Linked DNA regions of Kluyveromyces lactis. The protein of the gene in region 1 interacts with the protein of each later gene in a biochemical or structural test. Links are inferred from orthologs where the notes say so. Each region holds a gene or a part of one and is shown on either strand. Other genes may lie near its edges. The genes, in order: TAF4 and RAP1.

Region 1 (6,333 bases):
GCGTTCAATCTATAATTTCTACGTACGATTTATTCATACTCTTTTTAATATTACTTTTAACCATGATGATGAAAATGATTAAGAATCTATTCATAGAGACACCCTAAGTAAAGAAGTAAACAAAAAGAGAGCTGGCAAATCAATTTGTTGATCGTGTTAAGTAGTAATCTACCAACTCCATTCCGCAGAAACAATTATTGGCATTTTCATTTTTTTCAACAGAGGTGTGGTAAGAACAGTTGAGATTATCTCGTAATATTTCGGTAGAAACATGGATTTAGAGGCTGATCCCTGGAGAGTAAATTCTGAAGAAAACGGCAACAATATCAGTGGATCTGTGTGGGAACCTGATAATTCATCTGTTAATGCTTTAAAATCATACTCAGCTGATTCACTACAGCAAGAAGCAAACAAACGTGTGAATGACGATTATCTTGGAGTGAACATATTCAGTAATGGTGATAACATTGTTAGGGGTACCGCTTCCAACGTATATCAAAATGATGTTTTATGGGACCGTCCAAACATTGGAAGTACTACACAAGAGACAGATATTCGAGGCGTGAATCGTTTTCAGGCTACCGACACACCGCAGTATGCTGCAAACGACGAGTATAAGAACTGGGTTGAGTCCGTAAGAAAGACATATTTCCCACTAGCAGAAGATATCGTTAGTGTAGAAGAAATTCCTGAAAGGGAAGGGCTAGTGTTCAAGCACACTAATTATTTGGTCAAGCATCTCACACCTTTGCCAAACACGGATCCCTCGGATGATAGAACAGTGGTGAGAAGGTATTCTGATTTTGATTGGCTACAAGATGTATTACTAAGAAAATACCCATTTAGAATGGTCCCAGAACTACCTCCAAAAAAGATCGGCTCTCAGAACGCAGACCCTTTATTTTTGGCGAAAAGAAGGAAAGGCTTGAGCCGTTTCATCAATTTGGTTATGAAACATCCTGTCTTGAGAAGTGATGACTTGGTTCTCACATTTTTGACCGTTCCAACAGATCTTTCGGGCTGGAGAAAACAAGCGCATTACGATACAACAGATGAATTTACTGATAAGCATATATCTTCTTCATTCATGAATTTATGGAGGAAGGAATTTTCCGAACAATGGAATAAAGCAGACGAAAGAATTGATATTGCATTGGATACATGGGTTAAAGTTACTGTTTTAATAGAAAGATACGAGAAAAGGATGAAACAAGTTGCCCATGAAAGAAAATTATTAGGACAAATCCTTAATGCTATTCCAGACACAACGGAAGCATTGTATCCACAATCCACTGCAACAGTTTCTCAAATAAACGAAGGTGTTGGTTTGATAGTAGAGCATTTGAATTCATGTGCAGATGTCATAGAAAGAGAAAACGAGGAAGTCGACAGTGGCCTCTCGGTTAGATTCAAGGCTTTCATTGACGTTATTATAGCGTTGAAAGGATTGTTTGAGAGATATAAGATGATGGCAGGTAACAATATTCCTCAGTTACAAAGAAGGGTAGAAATAAATCAAGAAAGATTGAACACTTTGGAAAGCAACCCTGATGTGAAAGGAGCAGAATATGATCGTGTAAAACAGAGCATCTCCAGAGATAAAAGAAGCATACTCGATCAAATGAACCGAAGCTGGTTGATCAGGGAGTGTATATTGGAGGAATTCACAATATTCCATGAAACTCAATTCTTGATTACAGATTGCTTCCAGAGGTGGATTGAAATAAATTTGAGATACACTAATAACAATGTTGACAATTGGGAAAAAATTTGCAAAAAGCTCCGCGATATGCCCCTGCAAAGACACTAAAACTATCCTACAATATTTATCTTGAATGTTCCAAGCTTTATGGAATTGTTTGATACGATAATAATAAGTGCTACGCGAAGGAATTTGTGTTGACACATATGCATATAAATTTTATATATGAATACTTATGGGAGTCATTTTGTCAGATAAAATGATATGTAATGTCAATTATGCGATTTTCTTATTGGTGTTTGTGAATCCAATACCCTTGATTGTTGCGATTAGATCCGTAGTGTTATCATCCACTGGCTTCAAGAGTATTTCTGTACCGAAAACTTTCTTGATATCCCGTAAGAGCCATACAAATCTTTCATCTATTTGATCCTTAGTGATTCTGAGTCTTCCGATATCTTCTTTACCGATGATCATGTATAAAATTGTAAGTGGCAACTGGTTTCTTCCAACAACTCCACTTTTGCTTATTTCTTCAAGTAGATGATAGGCTACGGATGCACCAATATCTTCTGGAACATCCCCAGCGTCACCGATAGCTTCAGAAAAGATTCTCCATCCTTGTTTGTTCTCTGCTACGAGCGTTAGACCCCAACCTGGACTTTTACCTGAGTTTTCACCTCTCCATACATCTGCAGTTATATTTACTTCACAACTAGCAGATTTAAGAACTTTTTTCGCACCATCAATCATTCTATTTACAAGGGAGGGACTGACTCTTGTGGAGTATGAAACACCTCTTATACTTGAAATCATTGTTTTATCCAAGGCGTGCATTGTAATCGGTTGTGCAATCAATGAATCCACAACAAGGTGTACTTCACCACCACCTAAAGGAGGTGAACCTCTCTTCAAAGTATGTAATGCACATTCCCTGACGCCAAATTTTTCCATAATCGGCATCAACCCCCATTTTATCGCATCTATTCCAGCATCATTATGTGAAGATGTTATACCACGGAATAGGATTGAGAATTTCTTCTTTGAGAAGGGGGCTAAATACAACATTGGCTCGGCAAAATAGCCCACAGGTTTACTGTTCGGACATTGATGTGTGTATGAACCACCAGTAATTATTCCTGGTCTGAAGATGACGGTGGTACCAGTGTATGAAATTTCTATTGAACTACCATTCGTTACCGCTTCCATCAATCTTAGAAAAGAGACTTCGTAATCTTTTAAACCCGGATTTAGGTCATCAGAACGTATCTTTTCTATCTTTATAGCTTTTCCTGACAATGTAGCCATTACTACTCGTAAACGAAAGTTCCGTGAACCTTCAAAGGTTACGTATCTGGAAGAGGATGACATGTCCAATTTGTCTGTTTGTCTGTCCTACTTCGTGAGGAATAAATTTCCTGATAAATCTCTTTAGAGTTTTTAATACAGAAAGTGACCTTCTATCGGACGCTAATGGAATGGTTGATGGAAGTTAACTGAAACCTTTCGATATTGGTTTTGTGTTGTATGTTCAGTTAGGCGATGAGATGAGATGAGATACGCTTTTGACAAATTTTTTGCAAGGAAAAGAAATGAGCTTCGTTACCCGGATTATGTGATCTTTCAATCTTGAAAAAATCAAAGCCAGCAAACAATAGCATCTAAATGAAGAAAGAGGTAGGAACTAGATAGAACTTTTTAGCATAATGTTTAATACTCGCACGTTTTTTTATCTTTGTTGAAATCATTAAGGTTGTACGTTTTTCGCTGAAACTGGATTTTAATTGATAGGCCGCATTTGGACCTGTTTTTAAAGATTGACTTATTCTTTTCATAGTTTATTTGCCTGCATTTTTGGGACAAGTGCAATAGGTGTCCTCAAGTATCCAATACGATTCTTTTTACCCCCGTGTTTCACCAGAGAAAACTATCACTATTGGTCTAATTAGTATAAAATACGATGGCAAAATCGCCCAAGAGAAAGAATTCTGAACCGGAAGATTTATCTTCAAATAAACGTTCCAAATCATTCGAATTTGGCAAAGTAGAGAACGGGCTGGAACCCAGTGGCTCAGATTTTGGCAGTGATCTGCCTACGCCATTCGATACTATGGTTACAGAACAGCCATTAGCTCTACCTAAAGCATCATCTCCAACTACAAACCTAGCATCTCCGCGAAACTCAAGTACGCCAAATTTGAAGACGACGAGTACGACAAGCAAACAATCACAGAAAGCAGAACAGAAGAAGAATGCCGGGGGTTCAACAGGTAGTACGACTGCCTCAACTACAAAACCACAGCAAAGTGATCCAGACAAGCTTAGTGATGCTTTGTTATCGGCCGGTGTTGATATAAGAGAGGAAGAGGCATTGCTAAGTAGCACAGTTGCTAGAACAAAAGCAACCGGTATTTCAGCAAATAACCAGGTCCCATCTCATCCTCCATTCCTACATCCTAAGAACATTTCAGATTTCATGAAAAGAATTGCATCAGAACAAAACTTTCATCAAGATTTCAATAAAAACACTGATATACTCGGATTAATGTCTACTGCATGTGAACTTTACATGAGGGACGTGATAACGAACTCTTTAATCCTATCCATACATAGACGGAAAGGTGTTAAACTAAACACGGGAAGGAGGAGTGAAGTGAGTCGTTCTTTGAGGGATTTAGCATTAAGACAAAAGACTCAAGAAGAAAGAAGAGTACAGAGAAGAATAGCACTCGGTTTAGAAAAACAAACAACGGATGCTAGGTTAGATACTGAAGAGACTCAATATCGTGCATCAAATGCAACTGCCAATTTGATGATTGCAGGGGGTAACAAAAAAAAATATAGTTGGTTGACCGCTGGATCCAAGTCCAGCTCGACAGACCTAAAAAATCAGGGAAATGTTTCATCTGCTGTTGCAGCAAGGGGTGAAATGGGTATCAAATATAGAGAAGCAAGAGAAGAACCTGGCATCGTTATGAGGGACCTTCTTTTAGCTTTAGAAAATAGGCGAGTAGGAGTTAATAATGTTATCACTAAAGGATATGCTAGAATCAGAGACTAGCATTTCCAGTTACTTTGAGGAATAATATGAGTTTCCGAGATGTTCTGTAGTATGCATACTTATATAATATAAACCTTTCGATAAATAACATAGAGACTCATACTTGCATGCGAGATTACTTTTCCTTTTCTACCTGACATGTCGCATATTTAATATTTAAAGATAGTTTTCATTTTTTAGTATCTAAATACTCAAAATCACGTCAGAGACAAATAAAGTTTAAAAAAAATAGAGTTTATTAAACCATTACTTCACACGACGCTTTAATAAGTACACTAATGATCGACGCAATTCGGTACCATTTATCGTTTGTATCTATTATATTACTTTTTAACGAATCATATCAAGATACTTTTATATACTCCAGTCTTGTCAATGATTTGGTCATTGGTCAAAGGAGATCATCTAGAGAAATTGGAAACGAAGGAGGTACAATGACGAATTCATAAGAACGAATCTGCATGAACATCTGAAAACTCAATGCATATATATTTTTTTGGTTTTAGTTTGATACTCATGGGTAAACTAGAAAGAGATGAAGACACTAGCTAAACCTCCAATCAACAAAGATAGCGTACTTCTTGGGGCCAAAATTCTGGCACTATTTTCTTTATTGCCGGAATCAGATGTTGAGGTGGAACTTGCAGAGGAGGATGTAGTGCTTGAGATAGGGGTGGTGGCATCGACAGTTCCATTCCAGCAGTATTTTTCGAAACAAGCATCACATTCAGATGGAAGTGTATAATTTAGTGATTCTTGTTTCCGTCTCAATATGGCGCATGAGATACACCCCATAAAGTTCTCATCTTTAGTGAGATTTTTCATGGTGACAGCTTCGAAACCGTTTTGGATCATCTTAAACCTTTCGGAAGTGGAGTACGACATTTTAAACGTAGATGTGTTACTGTTGAAGGACTCCCTTGTGTTTGGCATATAAACTACTAAAGGTGGAATTGATTCTAGATCAGTCAAATTTCTTGCATCGCACCCAAAGAAGGTAGGTCTTGTATTTAATCCAAGATTGGTGAAAGTGTTCACATCTGGAACATAAGGGAAGGCAATGCCTTTCCCTTGCAGACCAAATTGACGAGCGTAAGTCTGAGTCAATGAAAATCCGTCAGGCCAAGATTGATCCGTGTCTGCACTGTTATCCAAAGCAAAGATAACATCGATTTCCCGCTCAGTTTGCAGCAATGGTGTCAATGGGATATTTTGCCCATCTTCACCACCATCCACTAAATACAATGTATCATCTTCACTGATGGATTGGGAATAATTAGAAGGTATGTTCGTGATTTCGTAGAACGGGTTTGGTGCCCAAATCGAGATGTCATCGTAATCATCAGAAGCATCAGTCAAGAATCCGTGAAGTAAGTTGTACAAGAAAGATGGCAAATCAGTAGTGTTAAGTTGTAATAAAAATTGGTTAAACAAGGAGGAGGACGTACCCATAACAAAACCTGTATTATCGAAGCCTGCAACACATTTTCCTGTTACGTTTGGAGTACCATTAGTAACATTGGTACCAGCATATCTAACATCGGTGAAAGTATGTAAGGTGTAATCCCAG
Region 2 (6,971 bases), on another chromosome or scaffold:
ATTTCTGGGAGAGCATCAACATCGTCTTAAATACACGTCTGTATACAGCCTATTTCATAATTTTTTTGTTTTGTTACTATGGAGTTTACCACTGACTGATCATCAATAAAGTTTGCTGCTTGCAAGCAATATTGGTCCAACAGTGTCTCATTATAAAGTCTCTGGATAGAAATTGTTTGAAGAATCTATCCTTTTAATGAAAGAAACTTTAAGTTGTTACGTGATATAAGATCGCGGTAAAAAAATAAGATTTATAATTATTAAATCTAAAATATTCCATAACATTAAAAATGAAAGAAAACCCTAACTTCAGTGCTCACCAGTAAACTTGCTGTTGATTCGTATCAGTTCTAAGAAACTTCAAGCATCCTGCCTAATAGTTCGTTTAAGTACTCTGAATGGTACCTGTCTGTCATCAGTGTTAAACAGATAAGTAATCAAATGCATCCGTTCGATTCTCACGGAATCCTGTTAACATGTTTTCTTTATCTGTCATCACATGACCAGTCAAATTATTCTCTTACTGCAGTTTAAGATTACCCAGCCTCAGCCATGGAATCTTTTTTTTTTTTGCTCTGCGCCTGCATCTAACCAGTCGGTTTTTTCCTACGGCTCAGCTTTGTAAGCTTCCCTCCCAAGTGGGTTTTTTAAACCTAGTCCGGAGATACCTTACGAAAAGCACCCGAATGTTTTTGTAACTGCCGATGACTTTTGAAGTATATGAAAGAACAGGTGGAAGGGTGAAATAATGTTGAAATAATGCTTGTATCAAGCAAGAACGCAGGGTATGCGCTTGAGCTTGAAATTTTGCGATATAGTTTGAGCTGGGTCGGTGTTAGACGTGAAAAGAAAGAGAAATTTCATAAGTCGAGAGTGAGGTAGAGCATAAATATCGTGCTGAATACTTACTTGACCACATATTCACAGTGATAGTAAGAGATTATTACGTTTTCAATAACGATTCACAAGCATACTTTCATGAAATTGGCACAAATTCTGACAGCATCGGGAACATTTTTGTTCATGCTTTACGTTACATGGGTGTTTTTAAAGTCCGATGATTATAGAGAATTCCCAGTGATCCAAACCAAAAGACATGCCGACATCAAGCATTCGTACGAAAGACTAGTTTTTGTTGGTGATGTGCATGGGATGTATCATAAATATGAGCAGTTGATGGAAGACAAAGTGAAACCAGATTCTAATACCACTGTGGTTTTTTTGGGTGATTTTATTTCAAAGGGACCAAATTCAAACCGACTTGTGGAACAAATAATATTAAACGATGATGTAGGTTATGACGTGAAATGTGTTCTTGGCAACAACGAATTGAGAATTTTGTATGCATTGTTAAACCCTATATCATTAACTAAAAGGAAATTGATCAAAATCAAATTCTCCTCAGAAGACTTCCTGCCAGACTTACCATCCATCAACAAGAATCATCGCCGTTTAGCAAGAGAATTGGGTTGGGACAATCTTGCTCGATTGGCAGCTAAGTGTGGAGCTATGTGGGAGTTACAGGATCCACTATACGACAATTTCACTCTTGTAGCAGTTCATGCCGGTGTTCTTCCAGATCATTTAGGAAATCCTCCATTGAAAGAAATTACCGATATGAAATACGTCGACGTAAATGATCACTCTCATACTACAAGACAAAAATTCGAGAACGCTACACGATGGTATCATCTTTGGAACCCTTTAGATAAGAAGAAATATTCGATACACAATAAGATTAAAGTGATTTATGGCCATGATTCTTCTAAAGGTCTAAATATTCGTCCAAACACAAAAGGTTTGGATTCTGCTTGCTACAATGGTAACAAATTGACTGCTCTTGAATACGTTTGGAACCATAAGACGAAAGAATACAACCACATTATGCATCAAATCTCTTGTCAAGACTGAAAGTACCCACAATATCTCAGATACACGCACATTATGTGCCCATACATATATAAAGACTACATATAGAAAGAGTTTATCGATGTGTTACCCTGACTCGAACTAAATGAATGTTGCATCTTTTCCTCTGTGATGATAAAGCATCAATAATTGAATTTGAGGAAGCATTCAAAAAAAAAAAACAAAGGATGGCTGGCCAGCACCCAGAGATTACGAACAAACACGACATTTAGGAAATCCGGAATTCAGTGTAAACAAACGTAACCAAAACAAGTCTTTAACGCACACGCGAAGTAGTTAAGAGTTGCGTCAGCTACAAAAGTGAGAGACAAAGCAAGTTCACTCAGAGTAAAGATATTTACAGCACCGCGGGTCTTGTTTTGTTCATTGTGCTACCTTTCATTGTTTGCTCATTGGTTATATTTCTATCGTTTGGTTCAGTTAAAATAAGGTAACAATCAACGGGAAACTGCCGCCTGACTGTTTAGATAATATTATTCACTTGACTTGAGTCGAATGCGTTAAAGAGAGAAGCTGTCTCTACATTGGCGAATCCACGTATACCCTTTACTCATTTAGCAATACAAAACCAACGAAGGAAGATGTCACATGCAGATGATTTTGACACAGCCTTGGATTCCCCATCGGTTCAAATAAAAGAAGATGTAGGTGTTTTTGATGGAGTCTCGTTTTTCATTGACCCTTTGATCAACGACATGGAAGCTTTGGGCAATGCAGTTCGCAATAACGGTGGGGCAGTCTTAATAGAGGCTCCAGAGAAGAGTTCGAGAGAATGGGAAGCAGCATATTTTGTTTCCAAGAGGTATGATGAGGACTATAGAATATTTGTGCATCCATCTTACATTTTAGATTGTATTGATGCAGGTACACTTTTAAACGTCCATGATTACTTGGGTAAACCTGAGTCTTCCGGGTTTGTTCGGTTCGATTCTAACTCCATCTCTGATGAATATAACATTGGTAGTCAGCTATCCGATCTTCCTGGCTCTGACGTAACAAGAGCTGCAGTCAAGATAGCAACAGGGATCAACGAGTCGATTGATTCCGAGAATACTCGGGGCCAGAGAGAAATGGATTCTGATTCGTCCCCAGAAGTGAAAATGTCTTCCAAGGATGACGAAATAGCTTCTCATGACCAACAGCAACAATTGACCCACACAGATGTAGATGATGCCAATGATCTTATTTTACATGAGCAAGCAAGTTCAAGTCATAATAAATCCTCATTCACTAAAGAAGAGGATGAATTCATCCTTGATGTTGTCAGGAAGAACCCCACTAAGAGAACCACACACACATTATACGATGAAATCTCACATTATGTCCCTAATCATACTGGGAATTCTATCAGACATAGATTTAGAGTCTATTTATCGAAGAGATTAGAATTCGTTTATCAAGTCGATGAAGATGGTAAATTGGTAAGGGACCAGGATGGAAATCTAATCAAAACAGACATTCTACCGAATGGATTAAAGAGGAAATTTACAAGTGAAGAAGATTATAATTTGGCGGTTGCTGTGAAAAAACAGTTTTACAGAGATGCTTTTCAAAGAGACCCTGATACAGGAGCAAGCTTGATCGCTGAAGATGATGAACCTAACATTGTCGCGAAACGACAATTAGTTATGAATACAGAAATTGATCCATCAGAAGTACCTTCTTTCGAAAAGTATACTGTAAATGACCGCCGAGGACCATTGTCTCGTGAATTTTTCAAATTATTCGCACTTGAAGTACCAACCCATTCAGAAAATGCATGGAGGGATCGTTTCCGTAAATTTATTCTGCCTTATGGTATTGATTCATACATTTCATACTATGAGAAATGCATGGAAGAAGGTATAGAACCTGAGTCTATCAAAAATATGACCAACAGACCCAAGAGAGAAGGACCATCACCCGGAAACTATAATACGACCCTAAAAAAGAGTAAGAGATCTACCGAAGGTGGTACTCAGCAATCAACAGATACCAGTTTGAATGATTTCTTCTTAGAATCAGATGCATTCGATCTAATAGATGGTATTAGGCGTGATTTGCACGCAGCTGAAACACAACAAGAAGAGCAAGCACGTTCATTGTATGCTGATGATGTCGCGGAAAGAATTCGTCATCAAGTGGCTTTGGAACATGAAGAGTATGATAACTATGATTTTGATTCAATACCTTTCCCACCCAAGCTCGCTGATAATGATGATTTCTTTGATCATACCTTTTTCAATTTCAGATCTACCAAGGAGTTCATACAAAAGTTGGAAGAGATTATTACTAGGGAATATGATGAGTCACAAGCAGATGTCCTTGTTCATGATCTTGACGTTGAGTGCGGTATCAGAAAGAAATACGCTACATCTGTCCTAACTGCTTTAACTGGTGATATCTCATTGTTTCCAAGATACATTCTGACATCATTCAAATATGGAGTACATCTTCCGCAAAATGTCCCCGGTATATGGACGAAGGAGGATGATGTGATCTTAAGATCAAAGAATCCAGATGGAATGAAGATGCTAGAAAAGAAACATGGTATTGCTAGAATGCAAATGAGGATAAGGTTCCAAGAGAACAATCTAGTGTGAATAAACACTCTTGTTGTCTCACTTAGGTAACTAACATTTCCCTACTTTCATTATAATATACCGATTTTGGTCGCAGTTGTCAGTCTTTGACATGAAATTATCATACTTTATATGTAATGTATCGATCATATTTATGAGCAGAAACATAATGTACTATTTTATTGAGTCCTTGCTGCGGGGCCCTTCCTTTTGTATCACAAGTTCTTTTGATAATAATTCTTTCAAATTTTCACTTATAAGCGATGGATGATGTAACGGGGGATCTTCCGCTTCGCTCGTGAGCGGTATTTCATGTCCATTATACCCTGTACTTGTAGTCCTCTTGCTTATTAGTTCTTCCTCTCTTTCGAGAACTTCAATCATTTTCTGAAACTTTATAAAAAGAAGTTCGCTTCTTATCATGATATCAGACCAATCCATGCTGTTTCTCAAATCATTGAAATATTTTAACACGTCGTCAAACTCTGTTAATTGAGAAACGACGACATCGCTGTGTTTTTGTAATATTGCCAACATGAAGAAAAGTTGGAACTGTGAACTGTAATAATCAGTCCAAAATATTTCCCATATTTTACAAACATCACTAAACTCAAACTCTCTTTTGAACCATACGAGTAACATTCTGAAACAGAAAAATAGATCAGCTGATTCGCACTTTTTCAAATGTTCCGCAAACTTTGGTAACATAAACTGACAAAGGTCAACAAGAGTTAGCATTTGATCTCTGATACCAGATTGATCTCTCAAAAAATTTCTTTCCATCCTATTCATGAAATTGACAAAACACCAGAAGGAAAGTGCCTCATCTTGAAGTACAAAGTATATCAGAGAGAGTAAATCGGTCATTCCCTGAACATATCCAAGATTTGGATTGTAGATATTGTAGCTAATGAGAATATTTTTCAAGGCTTGGAGATGAGGGTTTTTGATTTCCCACTCTTCTTCCTGGTCTCCTTTATTTGGTGCTTCTTCATTTTTAGCACCATCTTCCTTTCCATCTTTAGTATTGTGCCTATATAGAGGAATATCACGATCATTTCTAAGCACATCTTTCGAAATTCGGAATACTTGGTCTTTCCAATATTCTTCTTCTTCTGAATCATCAAGCACATCTCTGTAAATCCATTTCGACTTGTAATTTGCATTGTAATCCTCCTCCATGGCCTGCTTTAGCTCTTTACGCTCTTGTAAAGAAGAGTCCCAAGGATAAACTCCCAAAAGAAATAGCCACACTTCGCTTCTCAATGCGTCATTTTCGACCCCGCCATGGAAGATAAAATCTTTGACCTCATGCACAGTTATAGAAAGCCTACCTTGCGAGTCAAACAAAGAGTCCCATTTCTGCTTCGTTAAGGGAAATGACCTCTGTACAGCTATATTCAATTCCTCGGGTGATATTTCCACATCGTTTGAAATTCCTAATTCATTTCTCAAAATTCTCTTATACGTGTCATCCAAATAGTGTTCCTTTTGATAACGCTCAGCCTCTTGTTTCACACCCATTGCCCATTTTGCTAGATATATTTTGGCACTATCAAATTCATCTTGGACTTCTACGACCCTTGGATTTTTCATCAATTGTTTAACGTACACATTGTCACTGTGCTTGTCAATCATTTGAACTATTGGATGTTTCTTTACTAGTTTTCCGAATAGATTAGATGCCGTCGTTGTTGCGTCCGCAAATTTGGACATAATTGACCATCTCGTTGCTTCAAGGCTGTCCCATATATTACCATCATCTTTGGAAGATGAACCGGATTGAGGTCTTTGGAAATTGTTCAACGAAAAATTGCGCAAATCGTCTAGAGATGCATTGACGAGATATATGCATTGTGATGAATCTACTTTTTGTAAATCAACCAAAGATTGTAAGCAAGTTCTCAAATCATCACCGCCCCAATAAATGTCCCCTTCATTGGAAAATGGATCGAATTCTTTACTCATTTTCTTTCTTTTCGCGATTGTTGATGTACATATGTCGTCATGGAAGAATAAGACAGGGATATCTTCATTCATACCATTCTTACAATTAATGATGCAGGATCCAAACCAATACCCATTTGGATGTGGTGGTTTGAACTGTATTGAGTATATCGCAGAAATACTGATAGTGAAAGACCACGATGAATATATTGAATCAACAGTAAAATCATGAGGCGATCTAACCGAGTGAGCAGTTAATAGTTTCGATTCCACATTCAACAATGTTTTCACAAAGCTGGATTCCAAATCATTCTCTGGTATCCATGAGAGTTTTGCATCCTGCGTTTGAGTATGTTGACTTTCTTTTATTACCAACAAAAACCCCGGTAATTGGTCGCTTCTATTAGAGGTGGGGTGAATAAAGACCTTACTCTTGCAGAACAGGATCTGCGACATTGCTAATACGATTTTAACCTTCTACTGTGCTTCTGTATGAAAATAGCGCTAATTGTAATACTGAAAATAGCTCCGTAG

The links.
Region 2: the proteins of TAF4 (region 1) and RAP1 form a complex in vitro, tested with the Saccharomyces cerevisiae proteins (2 studies listed by BioGRID, with this or other methods). The link is inferred for Kluyveromyces lactis from reciprocal best matches to the Saccharomyces cerevisiae genes TAF4 and RAP1.

Annotation. Positions count from the first base shown.
Region 1 is NC_006039.1:525,646-531,978, reverse strand, and holds TAF4 (Taf4p), read left to right. Parts: upstream 1-3,662; coding exon 3,663-4,763; downstream 4,764-6,333. Other genes in the region: MVP1 (Mvp1p), read left to right, coding at 272-1,810; RCL1 (rRNA-processing endoribonuclease), read right to left, coding at 1,979-3,073; PLB3 (lysophospholipase), read right to left, coding at 5,289-6,333. UniProt on the Saccharomyces cerevisiae protein: Functions as a component of the DNA-binding general transcription factor complex TFIID. Binding of TFIID to a promoter (with or without TATA element) is the initial step in pre-initiation complex (PIC) formation.
Region 2 is NC_006040.1:1,618,916-1,625,886, reverse strand, and holds RAP1 (DNA-binding transcription factor RAP1), read left to right. Parts: upstream 1-2,510; coding exon 2,511-4,511; downstream 4,512-6,971. Other genes in the region: PPN2 (putative serine/threonine-protein phosphatase), read left to right, coding at 979-1,911; GTPase-activating protein GYP7, read right to left, coding at 4,665-6,893. UniProt on the Saccharomyces cerevisiae protein: Essential regulatory protein in yeast whose DNA-binding sites are found at three types of chromosomal elements: promoters, silencers, and telomeres.